Saccharomyces cerevisiae S288C: one gene and its partners. Changing the gene in region 1 together with any one later gene gives a genetic interaction. Each region holds a gene or a part of one and is shown in the gene's direction. Other genes may lie near its edges.

Region 1 (6,027 bases):
AGATGCGACAGAAGACCCATATTCGGAAAGAACCTTATTGACCTATTAACGAAAGATAGAAGGGTTAAATATGATAAATCAAGCATTATTGATAATGAACTAATAAAACCCTTGCAAACCAGGGTATTGGATAATAGAAAGATCATAGATACCTTTGCAGTGTTAACCCCAAGTGCCGTCTCACTAGATATGAGAAAGTTGGCATTGGGATTAAATGATGACAGTTCGGTAGGCGAAAACACAAGGCTAAAGGTAATGCAGAACTGTTTTGAAGTATCCAACCCATTACACCAACTGCAAACCAAATTAACAATCGCATTCCCGGACAAATCGCTGCTTCAATACGATTGTGGTAAATTGCAGAAGTTAGCAATTTTATTACAGCAGCTGAAGGACAATGGACATAGGGCACTTATCTTCACACAAATGACAAAAGTTTTGGACGTTCTGGAACAGTTTTTAAACTATCATGGTTATTTGTATATGAGACTAGATGGTGCCACAAAGATCGAAGACCGTCAAATCCTAACAGAGAGATTCAACACTGACTCAAGAATAACGGTATTTATCCTATCAAGTAGATCAGGAGGGCTAGGTATCAATCTGACTGGGGCAGATACAGTTATTTTTTACGATTCAGATTGGAATCCAGCCATGGACAAACAGTGTCAAGATAGATGTCACAGAATTGGACAGACTCGAGATGTGCATATTTACAGATTTGTCAGCGAACATACCATAGAAAGCAATATCTTAAAAAAAGCCAACCAAAAAAGACAATTGGATAATGTTGTTATTCAAGAGGGTGACTTCACAACAGATTATTTCAGCAAACTTTCGGTGAGAGATTTATTGGGATCCGAATTGCCCGAAAATGCTTCAGGTGGAGATAAACCACTAATAGCAGATGCAGATGTGGCAGCCAAAGATCCCAGACAACTGGAAAGACTTCTTGCGCAAGCGGAAGATGAGGATGATGTTAAAGCTGCAAACTTAGCCATGAGAGAAGTCGAAATTGACAATGACGATTTCGACGAAAGCACAGAAAAAAAAGCAGCTAATGAAGAGGAAGAAAATCATGCTGAACTTGATGAGTATGAGGGCACTGCCCATGTTGACGAGTACATGATCAGGTTTATTGCCAACGGTTATTATTATTGAAGGACCAGGTTCTACTCTTCACCGCTGCCTTAGTTGTCCAAATCGGACTATATACCTATTGTGAATATTTTAATGATATATAGCCATAATGAATCAACAAATTGTATTATTATTTCCGACAACACTATCGCCTCTTGGTTTTTATGGTAATGTACTCACCATGGCATTGTTCCTTGGTCACCAATTTCTATTTACCGGGTGATGGCGGCGCGCCACAGCGGAGGGGCATTGCCACATTGCTGCGCGATCAAGGTTGGTTTTTCCAAAGAGACTTCAAGAGTACTAAGCTTTTGATGTAGTAATATTTGTCAAAGAGTTTTAAGAGCAAGATTCCATTGAACAGAGGTGCTGGAGTGACGAGCGTGTGTGTTTTTAGCCTATCTTTATTCGTTGAGCCTGTAGAAGAGCCGTTCTTTTAAGTACACCCTGATTAGATCCCCCTATTTGTTGCAACCGTTCAAGTTTTGTAGATCGGAAGAAGAGCAAAACAGAAAAATAAACAAGGCGAGAACGTAAGGTGTCATTGCATTAGCCATTAAAAACCATATTCACTCTTTACATTCGTGTAGCAATTGTTACTGTGATAAACTATTGAAATTATTTATAGTATATTTTGTTTTCTTCCTTTTAATCACTTTTTGAATTTTTAGAATCTGAAATTTTTTTTCTAACGTTGATTGGAAGAAAAGTAATGGATTCCACAGGCGCTTCTCAGATTGTTAGCGCACTAGATGTTATTTACTCCCCCAAGTCTAACAATTCTCAACGGCAAGAAGCTCAGAAATTTTTAGATGAAGTGAAATTATGCTCAGAATCGCCCTTTTGGGGCTACGAAATTGCATTGCAAAACCCCACTAATTCTATATTGAAATACTTTGGACTAGGATTACTAGACCATGCAGTGAAGAAAAACTGGAATGATTATGACGAGGGGAAAAGAGTGGCCCTGAGAAAATGGGTCATGGAACTTAATTTTGGGGTGCAAGATTATGATACCAGATATATTAAGGAAAAATTAGCCACTTTATGGGTAGAGGTGGCAAAAAGAACATGGGGTGAGGCTCTTAAGCAGACAAACCCTACGGAAGAACAGTTACTCACATCTTGGGTGGACATGGACAATAACCTTTTCGAACTTTGGAACATAAATCAATCGTCAAGAGAACTAGCATTAATAATTTTCAGAATCCTTTTTGAAGATGTTTTCTTGTTGGACGACCTAATTGTTTTGAAAAGGATGACGGTTATTCAACCCTTATGTGTAATGATTGTTTGCCCTATTGAAGTTTTCGCAATAAAATACAAATTCAGTGATAAATGGACCAAATTTAAAGCTAATGAAGAGGGCTGGTTTTCTGTTTGGATTCCAGAGTTGAATAATGCATTACAACAGAATAATTCTGAATACATCATAAGGCTTTTAGAAACTCTGAAGACGTGTTTAAACTGGCCATTAACAGAGGTCATTGTAAGAAATGACGTGTTATCCTCCTTATTGACTTGTTTATCCAGCAATATCCCAAGGGCGCAGTCAATGGCATTAGACTCGATACATATTCTGTTGACCCGTCCCTATAGTAATGAAAGCCATTACCAAATGACCATAGATCGAGTTTTTGATAATATGGACTTATTAGATAGCGTTTATGAAAGCTTGTTGTTTGATCCTACAGATGATATAGATGAAACGAAATATCCTATAATTAAAAAGTTCGTGGATATGATCAGTTGTCTCTATGTTTGTGTCCCAAAGATTAAGGAGACAAATGGCCAAATTCAAAAATATTTTAAGCTTGTATTAAAGACAACTTATAACCCAAGCTTAATCGTTAGCGGATTAACATTAGACCTATGGTGTACCTGTCTTCGAAACGATGAATACTTACCCAAGCTGGAGAAATATGTCATTCCTGATCTACTACAGTTTGCCGCGGATGCTTTAGTCTATTATGAACAGATTGATGGTCATATTTCCAAAAAATTTGCGGAGATTGATTTTCAATCCAAGTCCGAATTTCAAACATTTTGTTCCACTTATAGGAAAAGAATAAGAGACATCATTAGGTTGATTTCTTGCGTCGAATTAGACCTTACTTATGATTGGTTGAACAACAGATTAAACAATTATTTCAGCTCTCCATTTGGTCAGCAGGTCTTAAGTTCCACATTTTTGGACCATAAATTAGAGCCTTATTTAGGTGCCCTCTCCCAATACATGATTGTTGAATGTTTCATCAATGGTTGTATAAGATGGAAGATCTGGTATCCAACAGGAGATGATTATGACGAAAAACTAGATTCCATATTACAAAAACTGGAAATTTTGTCAAACCAGTTAATTGCATTAAATTTAAGAGAACCATTGTTATTGAAGAAACAAATCCAAAATTTTGCACTTTTTTTGACAATGTTAAAAGATAATGTGCTTTTCACACTTTTAGAAAAAATCATAACAAGCGCCACGATGGACTATCCAGAAATTAATTTGGAAGAGAGAGGCGCTGAATCAGACGCAGTTAGAGATTTGAGATATGCTTGTGGTATCGAGTTGAATAGGATGGCTTTATTAATGCCCGAATCTCTGAAAAAAATATACCCAGACCTTGAAAGTGTCATTGCCAGAATCATGCCCAACTTATCTTACCATGAAAAAATTTCCTTCAAATCCTTCTTATTGATCATTGTATTGAAGTCTTCATTAGATATGAAAGAGGAAAGATTTGCGGCTATTGTGGATCCAGAACTTTTAGCCTGGTCTGATAAAACAACAGTTGTTGGTCTTTCTGATTTGCATTGGTTTATGGAACGCTTAGGTATTGTTCAGATCGCAGAATATTTCCAGAGGCGTGATATCGACGAAAATAGTGACCTTTTATCAATTCCAATTGATGATGAGGGTAAAGAGCTGAAGTCGGAATTGACCAAACGTTGGCAAAGCTTGTTTCCTGTTCGTGCAACAAGAATGTTCATTCATTATTCAATGCAAAGTATAAAGACAGATGAAGAATTCAAAATGCTACAAGATCTGTGGAGACCTAGGATTGTCCCAATATTACCTTACATCACGAGACTACTGTACCAATTGCAATCCTACCACGATCCAGATAATTGGAAAGGATTACCTACGGTTGTGCAATCCTTCGTCAAGTATTCCACTATTGAAAGATTTTGGGAGGCCGGAGCTTCAAATAAATCAAAGGATGAGTTTATTGATGAACATATGAAAGCGATGCAAACCTTACGAGACTTCGCCGACTCCGTAGGACACATCATTAGGTATACAAGGGAATACACTCTACTTGTTTTAAGTGCCATATCATCACTTGGTAGTGTTTTTTACCTTTTGGACGAATCGCCCGACCTACTACTGAACTCTATTGCCATATTTAAGCCAGGTAGCAATGAGATAAGCCCTGGAGTTTCAACACATGGATGGAAACACATAATGAATATAGCCATTCGTCCTATATTAAAAGGTTGTCCAAAAGATTGTCTGGGGAAATTCATGCCCGCATTTTTGCCTAAATTATTTGAAATCCTGGACCTGCTGCTATGTCAGAAATGGTCCTCGCATATGAATGATATGGACATGAACCCAGTTCCAACTGACGATGATCAAATGACTGAAGAAATTTTGGAAGAGAATTTGTTGAGACAACTAACCACAGTTGTTGTTAGAATAGTAATTGATTGTGTTGGTCAAGGCAATGCCAATCCAAACAGTGCTAAAAGCAGGCTAAATAACCATCAAATGGAGATGAGAAAAATTATATTTAATGATTTAAACACCCTTGCTCCATTTTTGAAACTTTTGAACCATTTAATTTCCTTCAAGGATACAAAATGTTCATTTAACTCCATCCTAGTAATGAAATGCTGCTTAACCTCAGTCCTTAATCAAAACAACACGGTGGATGAATATTTCACATTTGAAGTGATGAAAAATCTGTTGCTAAATGTGCTGTGTAATAGTGCGTTTAAGGATTCTTTCCATGAGGCACTATATGCTTTCACTGTGATTTTTTTGACTCTGTGCAAAGAATATCCCTCTGCTAGAGCGTTCCTTTTTGAGATATCTAATGGTTATAATATTGATGAGTTATACAGAAATTTAAGGAGCGTGGACGAATACAAAACACAAAGGGCACTCATGATTGATTTTATAGATTGGGTTAAATCCACCAGTGGGAAAGAAGATGGTAATGTGGACCATGCAGGCGATGAGAGAAAAAGACAAGAGAAAAGGGAAGCTATCCTCAAGAAGGCAAATGAGAGATTAATTAAGAAGAATAAAGAAAACGGAGACATGCTGGATGATCCGAACATTGAAGACGGTGCTGTGGGTAATCTCTTTGATGACAACTGATAATAAGGTGCCATATATACGTAGATGTGTAGATGAAATTAGAGAAAGCAAATAGACATCTGAATCGTGCTAAAAATTGTAATTATTGTGAAAAAAAAAATTCTGTATTCGCAATTTTTTTAATGAAAGTCGGCAGCCGGTAAATATGCATATAATCAAGCGTTTTAATGTGGGTCTGAACAAGGTATTTCTGAAGATTTTTTCTTCACATATTCCCTAATATTTTAGCGAAATAGGAAACCATTGGCAATGGAACAACTGTGTAAGAGGTACGTGCATACACCGGCGGCTTTTATACAAAACATTGTTGCTAACACTAAAAGAACAACGCTAGCCACGCAATTATCTGTTGAAAAAGCTAAAAAAAAAGTTCCCAAGACAGCTCTTAAAAAGAAACTTAATAGTAGGCCAAAAGAAAGGCTTCCGAATTGGCTAAAACTAAACGATGTTTTTAACATACATTACGAAAAGCCATCTAACTCTGATATAAATAAGGTTAA
Region 2 (5,213 bases), on another chromosome or scaffold:
CGATAACTATGTCGGAGCCAATCATTTTTTTTCTTTTTGTAAATTCAGGTCTAGTTCTTACTTCTTTGTCAAAATGCAATCCACATATAATTTTATTTCCAAAAAATTCTTGGTTATTGTATTTTTTGATTACATTTCTAGCAGAAATATCGTTATCGAAATAAACGAACCCAATGTTTTTTCTTCTTTCTAGAAGACATGACAGTACATTTCCGTACTCGATCATTATTAGATAAAATGATCTTGTGGTCAGTTGGGGATTTTCCAGTGGTAAGTTAGAGAAAAAAACATTTGTTCCGATGTTTTTTCTAAATAATGTATTTTTCATAGATGGCATTATTTTAACTTCTTGACCAAAAAAAACCGTATAATTAAATTCTTTCCTTGCAGATTCTGCATCGTTTTTATCCTTGAAATTCAAATAGCCATAACCCAATGATTTTTTGGTGAGAAAATCACGACACACTTTAGCAGATTCAAAAGATTGATACCTTTTGAATATCTTCCTTAGCATTTCTTCAGTGACAGTTGATTTCAGATTTCCTATAAACAAACTATTTGTCTTTGAAGTTTTCGTGATATATTTTTGCACGCTTCCCTTTGCAACAGTTTTTTCAAATACTTGCTCTTGTTCTTTCTTTTCTTGAGTTGCATTTTTACAATCGTATTTTTTGAGGCTATTCTTTTCTTTGACTTCAGCATCCTTTAATTTCACATCACCGAGCTTATATCCAGCTCCTTGCACGCGTACTAGTGCTTGGGCTGATATCGTTTTGAAGCTTTTCTGCCTTGCATCTTTATCATTTGGGCAACTTTTAGAAATCGATCTGGGATTTTGCTTGCTATTTAAAGAGATATTATTCAATACATTACCATGAGAGTTTGGCATCTTTTTTTAGGGAATTTTTCGTATTTCTGCTTTTATTGACTTGGATAATTCATTATGTTAAGTAAGCTCTAATTGCTAAAAATGCCATAAAAAGAAAACTTATTGGAAAAGGACCGCCATTTCGAACGGAATTTGTGACACAAGTTCATTTTAGCAAAAAAAGGTCCTACCCGGATTCGAACCGGGGTTGTCCGGATCAAAACCGAAAGTGATAACCACTACACTATAGGACCGGAACTTACTGGTCGATCTGAAAATCATGATCGAATACGTCATCCTTGCATTACCCAAAATCAATCAATTTTTAATGAAATACATCAAATTTTGATTGTTGTTATGAAACTTCAAAATATCATCCGTTTATTAGTACTCACGCTACTAGTTTATTGTCAAATAAGTTGTAAGAAGATGGCATAAACATTGAGAAACAGTCATCAATTCTAATGAAAGCAGAAATGCAAGGATTGACAATGTAATAGGGTAATGAAAAATATAGAACGGAAGGAGAAATAATCATAATAACCTTATGTCGAAATACAGATTCTGAGAATTAGGTGAATTTTGAGATAATTGTTGGGATTCCATTTTTGATAAAGGCTATTATATTAGGTATACACAATATACTAGAAGTTCTCCTCGAGGATTTAGGAATCCTCAAAATGGAATCTATATTTCTACAACCTAATATTACGATTATTCCTCATTCCGTTTTATATGTTTCATTATCTTATTACATTATCAATCCTTGCACTTCAGCTTCCTCTAACTTCGATGACAGCTTCTCATAACTTATTTCATCATCTAACACCGTATATGATAATATATTGATAGTATAATTATTGGTTGATAGACGATAGTGGATTTTTAATTACATTTTGAGGATTCTTATGTTCTGGTGGATAACTACTAGTATATTCTGCATAGCTGATATCATAGCCTTCACCAACAAGGAAATCGCAACAATCATTAAATCATTCACTCAATATTCATAATCAATGGATGATGTTAAATTCTTATTTTAACATTTAGTTTGTGATTTCCGGTAAAAGGGTAGTGTTGTTTTTTTGAGAGCCTTTTCTGACGGACAAATGGTCGCAGGAAATATAAATTTATATTTAGTAATACGCAATCGCATACACATAAAAGAAGCCGAAATATTTTATCAAATACAATAGAAGCTAAAAGCAAGAATTGATAATGTAATAGGATAAAGTAATATAGTTATGGAGATTTATCGACGCCTTTTTGTGGATTCCAAGACCCTCGAGAAGAACTTCTAGTATACTCTGTGTACGAATATTATAGCCTTTCTTCAACAATGGATTTCAAACAATTATCCAATTATTCACCCAAAATTTAATATAAAACATACAAGGATTGCAATTTCAATTGACTTATACTAAGGCATAAGATCCTGATATTATGCTTACGACTTATATAATAAGTGGCAACTTGGCCGAGTGGTTAAGGCGAAAGATTAGAAATCTTTTGGGCTTTGCCCGCGCAGGTTCGAGTCCTGCAGTTGTCGATAATTTTTTTAAAAAAAATTGTGGAAATTTTGTCATTCAGTATTAAAGATTTTCTATGCAATAAACTAATTAACATTCTACAGAAAAAGTAAACTAATCTTTTTAATTAAGGGAAGACTCACTATCATTATAAGTTGCATTTTGTCCACTAGACTCATAATCGGAACAATTAACATCCAATGTATTTGAAAGTCTCTTTTTACTTAACTTTGGTGCTGCCCTTGGTGTCTCTTGGCCAACAAAATCTCCGTTATTAGAAATCGAGACCGGATATATTGGAAGATATTGGTAATTTTTTTCTTTATCTAGACTTTTGGTCTGATGGGGCAGTCTTGTTTTCTTAAACAATGGCGAATCGTATACGTTAACATTCGGATAAAGCAACTCCGGCCGTTGGATGGGAATGGCATAGTTTAGGTTTGGGTTATGACTTGGCGTCAGGAACGTTGGGTTTCCAACGAAATTTTGATACGGGCTAAAATTATACATAGGAGAAGGAGCAATATAGTAAGGAACTGGAAACATGGGTGCTTCTCTTTCTACATTTATTTGAGAAGATTGAGAAAGAACCGGCGTTGAAGTAGATTTTGGAGGCTGCTCAATGTCCTCGAACCTTAAGGAATTATCAAATGAGGGGCGCTCTATTGTTTGTCTTTCGTTTTTCAAGGTATTGCTTGATTTATTTTTCAAATATCGAACATCTCCAGCCTTTGAGTACTGTTGAGCATCACTTACAAAATTTAATCCTGGATGTGGGCTTTCTAGTCTTAAATCGACATGTTTCGAATTGAATATATTTTCTGATTCTGTTTTTTTTGTTTTTCTGATTTCCTTATTCTTGATTTCTTTACCAATTTTAAAAGCAAGTGGAGAAACTCGCAAGTTTGGGGTCTTCTCTTGAAGAGGTTTTTGAACTTTCCTTTTAGAATGTGTTGGTGACCCTAATTCGAGTAGCCTAAAGCGTTTTCTGGGTGCCATAATTATTCTCGACTCAACTTCAATCCGTTTTCTTTCTTCTTATTGCGCTAATTGTCTGTTAGACACTTTTATGAGACTTCCTTTTTGTCGGCGGCTATTTCTCAATATACTCCTAATTAATACATTTCCGTGCAAAGGTACTAACTAGCTAAACGGATACTAAAGAATTCAAATGTGAATTTAAGCATAACTGCAGGTAAATCAAGAAGCTTGAATATTATACTGTAGTCAAAAATTAGATGTGTAAATACTGTGTATTATAATTCTGAAGTTTATTCAGAAAATATCATGGAACAAATGATACGCTGAAGTGCCTTCTGCCCGGAGATAAAGAATTCATAAAGTATAATCTCCATGAGACTTCCAGGACAAATATTTTCTCTTAAAGCGCTTGCTTTAGTAGTATTGCATCCAATGCTAATTTGTCTTTATTGATCTCTAGGCTCAATCCTCACTTTCTCGCGTCAATTGGTTTTTTGAACAGAAAAAAAAAGCACCGTCTGAAAAGTTTGAAACCTTTTGTCAGCAACGAGTAATTGCCAAGTGAAAAGGGAAACCTAAATACATACGATCAAGCTCCAAAATAAAACTTCGTCAACCATGCCTATTAATATTCGCAGAGCGACAATCAATGACATTATATGTATGCAAAATGCCAACCTTCATAACCTACCCGAAAATTATATGATGAAATATTATATGTATCATATTCTCTCGTGGCCAGAGGCTTCGTTTGTTGCTACTACCACCACTTTGGACTGTGAAGATAGTGATGAACAAGATGAGAACGACAAATTGGAATTGACCTTAGATGGGACCAATGACGGCAGGACAATCAAGTTGGATCCAACATACTTGGCTCCGGGCGAAAAATTAGTTGGATACGTTCTCGTGAAGATGAACGACGACCCCGACCAGCAAAACGAGCCACCAAATGGTCATATTACTTCCTTAAGTGTCATGAGAACCTATAGAAGGATGGGGATTGCCGAAAACTTAATGAGACAAGCTTTATTTGCGTTGAGAGAAGTTCATCAAGCGGAATATGTTTCCTTGCATGTGAGACAATCTAATAGAGCAGCTTTACACTTGTACAGGGACACATTGGCGTTTGAGGTGTTGAGTATCGAGAAAAGCTACTATCAGGATGGTGAAGATGCATACGCCATGAAGAAGGTTTTAAAATTAGAGGAGTTGCAGATAAGCAACTTCACCCATCGCCGTTTGAAAGAGAATGAGGAAAAACTAGAAGACGATCTAGAAAGCGATCTACTAGAGGATATCATTAAGCAAGGCGTAAATGATATCATTGTATAATTAAATCAACCTATATAAACGTAGTATATTTTCATCCAGGCTTCTTCACAAGCTCTGTTAGCTCTTTTTGAGCACGGTTCTAAACACTGCAGTGCTAATTCGGTAGAATTGTGTGAGCATGAATAGTAAGGAAACTGTGCATGCAAGCTTTCTTTTTTTATATATGTAATATCCGGCAGATAGGATATCTTAATTACATCTATCTCGTCTGCAAGAAAAAGTTCACGAATGCATCTAATGTTTAGACATCATAGAAATGCATAAAAATGAAAATGGCTACCCTATTCCTTTTCATAAACCACTTTATCGACCTTCACTTCTCCATTAACGTATAAATAAATGTATAACGTGCAGGTATTGCCTTGAATATCCAAGAGGCAGAAACTTGGTGAATTAGACCCATTTATATCCGAATCTGACATATCAACCTCGTCTTCCTTAAATTGGTTTTCAGGCTTAACGTTGCTTTCATTCTCATTCTCACGTTCCCCAGCAGTGCC
Region 3 (6,955 bases), on another chromosome or scaffold:
AATAATGAGCACGCTTGGCACTTTTATATTGTTCAAAAAAATGTCAGGCAAGATCTTTTGAAAAAAAGGTACCGAAACGGACGTAAGACGGAAATAGAATTTGAAGATAAAGTTATATATCACTACACACGAATACTTTCTTTTTTTTTTTTCACAGGAAAACTGTGGTGGCGCCCTTGCCTACTAGTGCATTTCTTTTTTCGGGTTCTTGTCTCGAGGAAATTTTAGCCTCATCGTAGTTTTTCACTCTGGTATCGATGAAAAAGGGAAGAGTAAAAAGTTTTCCGTTTAGTACTTAATGGGATTGGTTTGGGACGTATATATCGACTGGTGTTGTCTGTTATTCATCGTTGTTTTTCGGTTAGCTTCGAAAAAAAAATAGAGTAAAAACCAGGAATTTACCCTAAAAACAAGAAAAAATAAGATAAACGAAAATATGGCCGGTACATTTTTATTCACTTCTGAATCCGTTGGTGAAGGTCACCCAGATAAGATCTGTGACCAAGTTTCCGACGCCATCTTGGACGCTTGTTTAGCCGAGGACCCTCACTCCAAAGTTGCGTGTGAAACCGCGGCAAAGACTGGTATGATTATGGTCTTTGGTGAAATTACTACCAAGGCACAGTTGGATTACCAAAAAATCGTCAGAGACACCATCAAGAAGATTGGTTACGATGATTCCGCCAAGGGTTTCGACTATAAGACCTGTAACGTCCTTGTCGCCATTGAGCAACAATCTCCAGATATCGCCCAAGGTGTCCACGAGGAGAAGGATTTGGAAGACATCGGTGCCGGTGACCAAGGTATCATGTTTGGTTACGCCACAGATGAAACTCCAGAGGGTTTGCCTTTGACTATTCTTTTGGCTCATAAACTAAACATGGCCATGGCTGACGCGAGAAGAGATGGCTCTTTAGCGTGGTTGAGACCAGACACCAAGACTCAAGTCACCGTCGAATACAAGGATGACCACGGTAGATGGGTTCCACAAAGAATCGACACCGTCGTCGTCTCCGCTCAACATGCTGACGAAATCACGACCGAGGACTTAAGAGCGCAACTAAAGTCCGAGATCATTGAAAAAGTCATCCCAAGAGACATGTTGGACGAAAACACCAAATACTTTATCCAACCTTCCGGTAGATTCGTCATCGGTGGTCCTCAAGGTGACGCTGGTTTGACCGGTAGAAAGATCATCGTCGACGCTTACGGTGGTGCCTCATCCGTCGGTGGTGGTGCCTTCTCCGGTAAGGACTACTCTAAGGTTGATCGTTCTGCCGCTTATGCCGCTAGATGGGTTGCCAAGTCCCTAGTTGCCGCTGGTTTATGTAAGAGAGTTCAAGTTCAATTTTCTTATGCCATCGGTATTGCGGAACCATTGTCCTTGCACGTTGACACCTATGGTACTGCGACCAAGTCTGACGAAGAAATTATCGACATTATCAGCAAGAACTTTGACTTGAGACCTGGTGTATTGGTCAAGGAGTTGGACTTAGCTAGACCAATCTACTTGCCAACCGCTTCTTATGGCCATTTCACAAACCAAGAATACCCATGGGAAAAGCCTAAGACTTTGAAGTTCTAAGCTTTTTTCCTTTTGGACTTTTTTCTGCCTTCAACCTCCCATGTTTTCATTTGCTCAACACAAGTCAACATGTACATTATACCGTATTTGATGCAGGGACGCAATACCATCATATTCTTGATATAGACTCATTTTTCTCAAATCAAATTTGTATCGATTTCATTTTGCATTATACAGGATTCCTTTTCCTTTCTAACATTTAATACGTAACTACTAATATTAATATATACCTCCTTCAACGGATCAACAAACCAAACTTTATCTTATTCAAATAGAATTTAACAGATCCAACGCCTTAGTTAACTCATCTTTGGCGGTGGGCAGGTCTTCATAATTCAATGCGCTTATGGCGTATTTGGCAAGTTTTTGAATTTGCTCTATTTTACTGGCCCTGTCCATAATTTTTGTCAACTCATCCTTTGTATACGATTTATGCTCTGCTGCAGCAGGTTCTGATGGTGCAGAAGGGCGCGTAAGATCCACTTCTTTCTTCACAACTTGTTGTTCGTCTTTTGTTATTGCATCTTCGTTCTTGTCGACGGTCTGTTCTTCTTCGTTTACGCTATCGGCATCATCAATAAATTCAGGTACCTCATCCACAGGCTCGTATGATGTTGTTTGGTCTTTTGGGGCTAGGCCTTCGACTTTATCATTATTATTGTTTTCCAAATCGCTTGTCTGGTGATCAACATCTTCATCCTTAATCTCCTCGCTATCATCCGCAAAATCTGCATAATCTAACGTTTTCTCGTCGCTGGAACCAATTTCACCCTTTGCCAATTTACTCAAATAAATTTTGCAATACTTAATTCGTTTTTGTAATGAATTTGTACTCGTTTCACTTATATTTTCCTTCCACAGGTGTAAAATGCATGAAAATAAATCAATACAACACCAAAGTGATCTTTTTAACATAACATCCCAGGGACCATCTTTTAGCTGTTTCAGTTTCTCGTTATACAACGACATTGTAAAATTTAGCATATAAATTTTGGCTTTTTCTTGATCATGTATTAGCGTGTTCATAACGTGTAAGCTTTTGTCACTGTCTTCTGCTTCACTCTCGCCGCCAATCTCCTTCTTAAACGCTTCAATAGTATCAAGAAGTTCTGTCGCTAGTGCGGTCATCTCTTGCGACCGATCTTCTTCACTCAGTATCAATTCCACCGCATATAACTGAAGATAGTATCCGATGATCCCTAACCCAACTTTGTCAAAATCCTTCGCTGTAGCGACAACCCTTGCAGCGTTACTAGCCATAGAATTTATTTAAAATGTGGACAATTAGTTTCTAAAAATTGAATCAAATAAAATAAGAAAGCTTATTGTTCCTTTTTTTGTCTTCATCTGGACCGTTTGGATAAGATCATTCACCAAATCTTAGTTTTTTTTTTTAGTTTCCTTCTCCAACGATTTCATAATAATAAAAAAAAACAACAAAAAACACGATTGAGAAACATCAATATGAACTAAGCAATAGCTAAAAAAAAAAGAATAATAAAGGGGAACACAGTATAATTCTCGAGAGGATGGCGTTGGAAGAAGTGGTACGATACTTAGGACCTCACAATGAGATCCCTTTGACACTCACTAGAGACTCGGAGACTGGCCATTTCCTCCTGAAACATTTTCTGCCCATTTTGCAGCAATATCATGACACGGGGAATATTAACGAGACCAACCCCGATAGTTTCCCCACTGATGAGGAAAGAAATAAATTACTGGCACATTATGGAATTGCTGTAAATACAGACGACCGAGGTGAGTTATGGATAGAGCTGGAAAAATGTTTACAATTATTAAACATGCTAAATTTATTCGGTTTGTTCCAGGATGCATTCGAATTTGAGGAGCCTGAAACAGATCAGGATGAAGAAGATCCCAGCCATTCGAAACTACCAGAAAACAAGACCAAAAGTGAAAATTCTAAGGATAATATCAGCTCAAAGAGGATTAATAATTTACAAGATATGAGCCTGGATTCTGATGCACACAGAGAATTAGGCTCTCCTTTAAAAAAACTAAAAATAGATACCTCTGTAATAGATGCTGAGAGTGACTCCACTCCGAATACTGCCAGAGGCAAGCCTAACGATGATATTAATAAGGGCCCTAGCGGCGACAATGAAAATAATGGCACTGATGACAATGACAGAACCGCTGGACCTATCATAACATTCACTCATGACCTAACTTCTGACTTTTTAAGCAGTCCACTGAAAATCATGAAAGCACTACCTTCTCCAGTTGTAAATGATAATGAACAGAAGATGAAACTAGAGGCATTCTTACAACGGTTGTTATTTCCAGAAATTCAAGAAATGCCTACATCCCTTAATAATGACAGCAGTAATAGAAATTCAGAAGGGGGGAGCTCAAACCAACAACAACAGCACGTATCATTTGATAGCCTTTTGCAAGAGGTAAACGACGCTTTTCCTAATACTCAATTAAATCTTAATATTCCTGTAGATGAGCATGGAAACACACCATTACATTGGCTGACTTCAATAGCAAACCTGGAATTAGTGAAACACCTGGTTAAGCATGGTTCAAACAGATTATATGGTGATAATATGGGGGAGTCATGCCTAGTGAAAGCTGTCAAATCAGTAAATAATTACGACTCTGGTACTTTTGAGGCACTTCTAGATTATTTATATCCATGTTTAATTTTGGAAGACTCAATGAATAGAACAATTTTGCACCATATCATTATTACGTCTGGTATGACTGGCTGTTCAGCAGCTGCGAAATATTATTTAGATATTTTAATGGGATGGATTGTCAAGAAACAAAATAGACCCATTCAAAGTGGTACTAACGAAAAAGAAAGCAAACCGAATGACAAAAATGGGGAAAGAAAGGACTCTATACTAGAAAATTTGGACCTGAAATGGATAATAGCAAACATGCTCAATGCGCAGGACTCTAATGGCGATACTTGCTTGAACATTGCAGCAAGATTGGGAAACATTTCAATAGTAGACGCTTTATTAGATTACGGTGCTGACCCATTTATTGCAAACAAATCAGGGTTGAGACCCGTGGATTTTGGGGCAGGTACTTCAAAATTACAAAATACGAACGGCGGTGACGAAAACTCGAAGATGGTCTCTAAGGGTGATTACGACGGTCAAAAAAATGGAAAGGCCAAAAAAATAAGGTCTCAACTGTTGAAAAACCCACCTGAAACAACTTCGTTAATTAATGATGTCCAAAATTTACTGAATTCAATCTCGAAAGATTATGAGAATGAAACAGTGCAATATAATGAGAAATTAGAAAAACTACACAAGGAATTGAACGAACAGCGAGAAGAATTAGCTAATTCTAGAGAACAACTAGCAAATGTGAAGCAATTGAAAGATGAATACTCACTAATGCAAGAGCAATTGACCAATTTAAAAGCAGGAATTGAAGAAGAAGAGGAAAGTTTTAGGGAAGAGAGCAAAAAGCTAGGAATAATTGCAGATGAAAGTTCAGGTATTGATTGGGACTCTAGCGAATATGATGCAGATGAACCCTTCAAAGTAGAGTTCCTTTCAGATTTCTTGGAGGATAAATTACAAAAGAATTATGAAGGCGATATTTCCAAACTATTAGAAGCGGAGTCGAAAGAGCAGATAATGGAACAGATACGAAATCAACTTCCCGCAGAAAAAATCCAATCGATGCTTCCACCAACGGTCTTATTGAAGGCAAGAATAAATGCATACAAGCGGAATGATAAACACCTAACCAATGTATTGGATACAATCAGCACCAAACAATCAGAATTAGAGAATAAATTTAGAAGAGTGTTATCTTTATGTTTGAAAATCGACGAAAATAAAGTTGACAATATGCTTGATGGTTTGTTACAGGCCATATCTTCTGAAGACCCACAAGACATTGACACTGACGAAATGCAAGATTTTTTAAAAAAGCATGCTTCATGAGGGCATGTGATTTCATTGCATTAACTTTTATGACTTTATTTGAAGTTATTTTTTTGTTTTAGCGCTTTATTTACTTTTATTTTACTACATAACTGTATTCTTACAAAATTTTTACGTACTCAGATGGGATATATAGGCACTTGATGTTTTATTTTCTTGTTCTTATCATATATCCGATGGAATAAAATGTTCTATTTTGCTGGCTTTTTCCAAAAATATTGTTTATGTGTCCTTCTACAAGATCTTAAGCCTGTCCTTCCACCTTTTAATGAACTCACCAAGTTTCTTCTCTCGTAATCATCATCGTTTTCTAAATCGTAGAAATACTCTTCGTCCAATGGTTTGCCGGCGGCGTCCTTACCATGACGGTAAATGACACCGACACATTTCGCGTCGCTCAAAATCGAACGTAATTCATCTCTTGAAAGCTCAGAAATTTGTGAGTTCACCTGCTGTAATTGGAATAATGGCGTCTGCTGGACGTTTGCAAAAGCTAGGTGATTGGTTAAAATATGCTGTAGATGCATAACATCAATATTTCTTCTAGATAGCTCATCCAAATTCTCTTTCACCGATTTTTTTGGCTTTGAAGGTAAGACCCTCTTGTTAAGTTTTGGTTTCTTCATAGTCATAGGATTTTTATCAGATGATAGTGAATCTTGTCTCAGGGTTTGTTCCTCGTGATCAACAGAGGAGACGGATGAAAGTGGGGACGATTTAGAATTTAGGAAGTGGTTTAGCATCCTTTCTGCAACGCCAGAATCACTACCAATTGAGATTTTGTTGCTATCCTTAAGTATTTTTTTGGGTCTGTCCATCGAAGTGTCAGTAAAAATCAATGGATGCTTCCTTATACTACCCATATGTTTCGTTTCACTTTCACTTTCAAATTCAGCTTTCTTCTCGAATCTTAACGGCTCTGAAGAAGAGTTTTTTTCTTTTAACGAAATGCGAAGTAAAACCTGCCTAAAATCCAACATGATACCCTTGTAATATGTCATATAAACGGTGTCTCCCTCTTCCAGAGTGAAATTAATGAATCCTCCCTCGTCTTGAATTTCTTTAACACATTTTTCGTTAGAGAATCTGGGAACAAGCCTATATGCCCTATTATTGTTATTCATGGTATCCTTTAATTGATAACAATCAAATTGCTTACGATAGGTAACGATTAATCCGTTCATACTGAAGCAGTGAATCTTCACTTCATTTGTTTGTGGTAAATAAGTTATACTAGCGTGTACTCTGGATATGAACTTATTCTTACAGAGCGCAACATCACATTGCGAACTATTGCGCCCTACAGTAATGGTGCTGATCTTGCTAGGATCTAGTTCAGCATTGATGACTCTAGTATGCCTTGAAGGAGAAGAAAGTTTGGAAGAAAACTTGGGTGACGTTTCTGCCAACTGGCCAGGAAAAGCTGGAG
Region 4 (6,144 bases), on another chromosome or scaffold:
TTCCCATTGTTTACAGCGATGGAATCTACCAAGTCTCTGTGGTTCTCAAATGGCCAGTGAGTCAGTAGAAAGTGGTAGTGTTTTTGGAAGAGATGCGCATGTCGTGGGAGCGGGTTATTCCATTGGAAGTGCGTTTGGTAAATGATACTCTCCAGTGCTTTTAAGCTTGCCCTTAAATCTTGTCTTCTTTGCGCCTTCTCGTACAGTTGTAGTGATTTTGTTAACGGCACGGCTATTTCTTTGAACTTGTAATCGCTTTGTTTACTTGTGAGTGTGGTCGTCAATGCTACCTTGGTTATTTGATGAAGCGGCGTAGACTCTATGACCGGCAGTAATAAGGCGTTAACCTGGGACGCCATTGTTGCTCCAAGTTCGCAATCGCTGTTCTGATAGAAGGCCTTTGTATGCTTGCTTTATGTCCGCCGCGATGGGGATTCTTCCTATTTTTCTACTGAAGGTGCGAAAGACTTCATTCTTCACCGCATTCAGTAAATGAATTTCATATATATACATATATACAGGTAGGATAACTTATGAAAAAAAAAAAAAAATAGAATAAAAAGTTATTGATGCCATCATTGGATACAGCAGTACGAACTTCTTGCTTTCTGATGCGCTGAATCCTGTGCTTCTGGCTTGAACGGCCTTATCCCTTCTGGAAGATCGTCCGTGTGAATGATCCGGAAATTTGATATAGTTTCGTTGTTAGTCAGGTTGCTGTCATCTTCAGTATTTACAGTCGCATGTGAGGCACAAGATGAAGATGACGGCAGATTCGTTTTTATTGCTAGTAGTTCTGATTTTTCATTGAACCAGTTATCTGGTGGAAATTCAATATGAACGAAAACATACAGATCGCCGCACCGGCCATGAGGGTTATCTAAAATGGGCCAACCTTCATTGGCGATTTTGATGGTGTCACCAGGTCTTACTACTCTGCCAGGTTTAACGCTCAATGTTAGTAACCTGTCGTCGAAGGTTTTTGTCAAAAATTTCTCAAATCCCGTCAAGGCCTCGCTTAACGATATGGTAATGCTTGTATACAAATCTTCCCCGGCGCCGTCGTCAAAGTTCTTCAAAAAGATTTGCTTCTGCTCCAAGTTTTCTTGTTTTTCAGTGAGATGGAACTTTAAATCACCACATGTGGTCTTATCGATTTCCTCGTCCGCCATCCCCTTGACTGTAATTACGTCGTTAAAGTGGTGTCCCGGAGCCACGTTCACTGTGATGATTTCCTTCTTTGACAGGAGCCCCAAGCCTGCGCAATCGGGGCAAAAGTTCTTTGGATTCTTGGGTCTTTTAGTGTACTTCCCCTTACCATTACATTTCTCACAGACCACCCATTGCGAAGCTACCAAACCGGGACCAAACCTCTTCAGACGTTCCTTTGAACCCTTTCCAGCGCATGATTCACATTCCACATCGTGTGTAACGTGAATTTTCCTCTTTGGTTTCCAGCCAGAACCGTGGCACTTTATACAGATGACCTGTCTCTTTAAATCAAACTTCAGCTTCTTGCCCATGTACAAATCCTTCAAAGTAAGAGATATATCGATATCGATATCCTTAGAGCTTGTAGAGTTGCCCTCTTCGTACGCATCATACTCGCCAGGGAAATTATTTCCATCGTGACTTCCATTATTGAAGAAATTGTTAAAGAAGTTCATAAAATCTTCATCTCCAAAGCCATTAGCGCCACCGCTGCTAGCGGCACCATTATCATCACCATACAAGTCGTAATGTGATTTCTTCTCCGGATCGCTCAAGATCTCGTAAGCGGCAGTGATCTCTTTGAATTTGATTTCATTTACCTCCTTTGAGTCTTGATCCACATACTTGTCCGGATGATGTTTCAGGGCAAGCTTTCTGTAAGCAGTTTTAATCTCTTGCACGGTCGCATCTCTCGTCACCCCCAACACATCGTATAACCGGTCTCCTCTATCACTGCCACTCATTCAAAACTACACCTGCGTACTTACTTTTCCCTTTCTTTTGGGTCCAAGCGGCATATCTCTTAAGATAAGATAAGCCTGACTCTTTCTTTGCCTCTCTGCCTTTCTTTCTTCTTCCCTTCTGCAGAGGATGGCTCGTCGCTACTCAAATCCCGACCCAAGAAACAAAGAAACAAGGATTGCACAGCAGAGCGCTGCCCCACACACATATATGCATATGTTTATTTACCGCATATTCGTGGCTATATAATCCATATATAATACACAGCACATTCATGATATAATCTTACATAGTAGCACTTCCCATTAGACGTTTTCTGCTTTTACAGTACTGGTTTTTTTTTCACTCTTGCGTCTTTTTTTTTTTTCATTCTGAAGGGGTCCAAGCCTAACGATTTTCGACCTTTCGTTGAGACAACTTCACGTACTCTTCTGACCTGCTGTGGTTGACGTATTTAGAGTTTGCTGCGCCCTTTGTAAACGATCGTGACCCGCGGACCATACTAGGAAAAGCTCTTCCGTTACTACTACTGCTTTCTCGCTATTTTACTCTAGTTGTTCATACTAGTCACACGTTGCTCGAGAACAGGACCAGCTTCTTTGTTTCTCCCCCGCATTTAATTGTTTCTGCTTCTCAATTGAACGCATATAAATATATTTCCCCAGTCTTTATTTTGCTCTCTCCACGATGTTATCACTGTCTGCCAAAAATCACTTCACAGTGAGTAATTCTATAACTCACGTTATTAAGTCATATCATATAAGGACTCTCACTTCAAGCGCAGAAAAAATGCCACATATCACTACTCCTTTTTCTACCTCAGCCAGTAGTACAAAGTTAAAAGCTTTCAGGAAAGTTAGACCCGTCCTACAGAGACATAGCTCTTCCTGGATTGTTGCTCAAAATCATAGACGTTCATTATCTGGTCAATCTTCGCTAAACGACCTGCGTCATTTGAATCGCTTTCCACACCACACGTTGAAAACTTCGAATAACGAGTTTTATCCCGCCGAACAATTGACTTTGGAAGACGTAAATGAAAATGTCTTGAAGGCTAAGTACGCCGTTAGAGGTGCCATCCCAATGAGAGCTGAAGAATTGAAAGCTCAACTGGAGAAGGATCCTCAATCTCTGCCATTTGACAGGATTATCAACGCCAATATTGGTAATCCTCAGCAACTACAACAGAAACCTCTGACTTACTACAGACAGGTCTTGTCTCTCTTACAATACCCAGAACTATTAAACCAAAACGAACAGCAGCTAGTTGATTCGAAATTGTTTAAACTAGATGCCATTAAACGTGCAAAGAGTTTAATGGAAGATATCGGTGGTTCTGTTGGTGCTTACTCTTCTTCTCAAGGTGTAGAAGGTATAAGGAAAAGTGTCGCTGAATTTATAACGAAGAGGGACGAAGGCGAGATATCATACCCAGAGGATATTTTCCTAACTGCTGGTGCATCCGCAGCTGTCAATTACTTGTTATCAATTTTCTGTAGAGGGCCAGAAACGGGTGTCTTGATTCCAATTCCTCAATATCCATTATATACCGCTACTCTAGCTTTGAACAATTCTCAAGCTTTACCATACTATTTAGATGAGAATTCAGGTTGGTCAACTAATCCAGAAGAAATTGAAACTGTCGTCAAAGAGGCTATACAGAACGAAATCAAACCTACAGTTCTAGTGGTTATCAATCCAGGTAATCCTACAGGAGCTGTCCTATCACCTGAGTCTATAGCTCAGATTTTTGAAGTCGCAGCCAAGTACGGTACAGTAGTGATAGCTGACGAAGTTTATCAAGAAAATATCTTCCCGGGCACCAAGTTCCATTCTATGAAGAAAATTTTGAGACATTTACAGAGGGAACATCCAGGTAAATTCGATAATGTTCAGCTAGCTTCTTTGCATTCGACTTCTAAGGGTGTTTCTGGTGAATGTGGTCAAAGGGGTGGCTACATGGAACTCACTGGATTCAGCCATGAGATGAGACAAGTTATCTTGAAACTAGCCTCGATTTCATTGTGTCCCGTTGTCACAGGTCAAGCTTTGGTTGATTTGATGGTTCGTCCACCAGTGGAAGGGGAGGAATCATTCGAGTCGGACCAAGCAGAACGTAACTCCATCCATGAAAAGTTAATTACAAGAGCAATGACACTGTATGAGACATTTAACTCTTTAGAAGGCATTGAATGTCAAAAGCCTCAAGGTGCCATGTATTTATTCCCTAAGATAGACTTACCTTTCAAGGCAGTTCAAGAAGCTCGCCACTTAGAGTTAACTCCGGATGAATTTTATTGTAAGAAGTTGTTAGAATCTACTGGCATTTGCACTGTTCCCGGTTCTGGGTTTGGTCAAGAACCTGGTACTTACCATTTAAGAACAACATTTTTGGCACCTGGTCTGGAATGGATTAAGAAATGGGAAAGTTTCCATAAAGAATTTTTTGACCAATACCGTGACTGAATAAAAGGGGGCAGAACAGTCTTCAATAAACATTTAAATAGCTAGTTTATTATAATAATGTGATCGTTTCTTTCTTCCACAACTCACATATAGTTATTTGATATTATCGCATCTTCGCTTCTCTATGCCATGTTTCCATCAATACTTATGTTTTATTTAATACATATTTGTATCAGTATATCATATCATTTCATCTTCTTTTGCTTCGATTTGTAATGTTTGTGCGTATAAAATCAATTGCGTAGTTCGAACACCCGTTAATCCTTTACTTCTTACCAATGGCACCTAACTTTGCTTTTCTTTCGACCTTACTACGACAGATTTAGATTCAAACGATGACGCTAATATCAATAGCCAACATGGAAGCCAACCTATACAAAGTACAAACCAACTCCAACATTTCAAATCCAACCATGCTGAAACCAGTTTGTTTATTATATCAAATCCATGAAATTCATCATCAAAAAATAGTCCGAATAAGGTTATTGAAATAAATGGATTTGTCAAAATTAATAGTACTAAATTTTTTAGTTTTTGTTTCTGTTGTTGGGGGGTTGCTGGCGTTGTATCCATGTGATTCTCGACGAGCTCTATCTCATCTTTCGGCTCAGTTTTTATTGGGTTAGAGGATTGAGTTGTCACCTCATGTTCGCTAGAACTTTCAACAATGGTCTTCACAAATGTCATAGGAAATGCCAATGTGCCGATCAGTAAAGCCATTGCAAAGTTTATCATTAGCAAAGATGTTGAAACCAAACTGAAATATAAAAAAGCAACATTTTTCAACCTGTATGATAGTGGTTCTGAGATGTGAATTTTTCTGGAAAGTATCAAAGGTAAAAAACAAGATGCCATGCTAATTGTCATCAATAATCCCGATGAAGGTATTAGAAGAAACGCTTGTGAAACAACAAATGATATCACCAATGACACGAACCAAACCAACAACGCTACCAAATTATACTCGGAAAATAAGGATATATTTGCATAAGCATTGTTTATAAATGCATTTAATGAACTTATGGCGAATGCTATAGATAAAGCCACAGCGCTTGGCAAATAACTACTAATGGATACGAACTGACGTGGTGCTAATAACAAATAAAAGAAGAACGATTGGTGAAATTTTTCCAAAAGGTTATTAATAGAGCGAAACATTGCTTCGGGTATACGTCCAAATGTAGTAATATCATGACCACTGTTTCCATGTGCTTTCAATGTTACAGATTGAATCCTCCAGCCGCTAAATGCCTCGTTACCATGGGGCTTTTTAACACCGGACAACGCCCAATCCCTTATTCCCAGGCATAATATTTTTAATCTTGACCAGAAATTATTATTAGTTAACTGATCACTGGGTAGACCGTGCAAAGAAACTTTCATACCTTCATGTTCCGTAATGGATATAGCGATGTTGACAAGATCCAAATTGGGCAGCTCACCATTCAGACCGTCGTATGAGATTTCTACATACTCGAAGAAATCTTCCGTACTCGAATAATCCAACACAACAGCAGCTTCAATGGAACCACCAGTCAAATCTAAGGAAGTATGGTATGCCTCAACCCATGATCTTAATGCTGCACGAGGATTTTCGCTGAAGACAACAATTATATTCTTGGACCATACTGGCCAACGTGAGAAAAATCTTGCTAAAGATACACCCAAAGCTGCGCCGCCAATATTGAATTCATCATCTGAATTAAACCATGGAACGGCAAGCAC

Evidence for each region.
Region 2: mutations in MSN5 (region 1) and ARD1 together harm fitness more than expected from each alone (negative genetic interaction), as found in Saccharomyces cerevisiae (3 studies listed by BioGRID).
Region 3: mutations in MSN5 (region 1) and SWI6 are lethal when combined (synthetic lethality), as found in Saccharomyces cerevisiae (4 studies listed by BioGRID, with this or other methods).
Region 4: mutations in MSN5 (region 1) and ALT1 impair growth when combined (synthetic growth defect), as found in Saccharomyces cerevisiae (2 studies listed by BioGRID, with this or other methods).

The regions. Positions count from the first base shown.
Region 1 is NC_001136.10:1,139,316-1,145,342, forward strand, and holds MSN5 (karyopherin MSN5), read left to right. Parts: upstream 1-1,852; coding exon 1,853-5,527; downstream 5,528-6,027. Other genes in the region: chromatin-remodeling protein SWR1, read left to right, coding at 1-1,161; translation initiation/elongation factor MRX8, read left to right, coding at 5,777-6,027.
Region 2 is NC_001140.6:130,230-135,442, reverse strand, and holds ARD1 (peptide alpha-N-acetyltransferase complex A subunit ARD1), read left to right. Parts: upstream 1-3,996; coding exon 3,997-4,713; downstream 4,714-5,213. Other genes in the region: MIP6 (Mip6p), read right to left, coding at 1-889; SPO13 (Spo13p), read right to left, coding at 2,521-3,396; retromer subunit VPS29, read right to left, coding at 4,995-5,213. UniProt on the Saccharomyces cerevisiae protein: Catalytic component of the NatA N-terminal acetyltransferase, which catalyzes acetylation of proteins beginning with Met-Ser, Met-Gly and Met-Ala.
Region 3 is NC_001144.5:514,826-521,780, forward strand, and holds SWI6 (transcriptional regulator SWI6), read left to right. Parts: upstream 1-3,114; coding exon 3,115-5,526; downstream 5,527-6,955. Other genes in the region: methionine adenosyltransferase SAM1, read left to right, coding at 437-1,585; VTA1 (Vta1p), read right to left, coding at 1,853-2,845; TOS4 (Tos4p), read right to left, coding at 5,718-6,955. UniProt on the Saccharomyces cerevisiae protein: Part of a complex involved in cell-cycle-dependent transcription. SWI4 and SWI6 are required for formation of the cell-cycle box factor-DNA complex. The repeated element in the upstream region of HO (5'-CACGAAAA-3') is called the cell cycle box (CCB).
Region 4 is NC_001144.5:316,512-322,655, reverse strand, and holds ALT1 (alanine transaminase ALT1), read left to right. Parts: upstream 1-2,640; coding exon 2,641-4,419; downstream 4,420-6,144. Other genes in the region: GEP5 (Gep5p), read right to left, coding at 1-359; XDJ1 (Xdj1p), read right to left, coding at 576-1,955; GPI-anchor transamidase subunit GAA1, read right to left, coding at 4,705-6,144. UniProt on the Saccharomyces cerevisiae protein: Alanine aminotransferase involved in both alanine biosynthesis and utilization. Under respiratory conditions, constitutes the sole pathway for alanine biosynthesis and catabolism.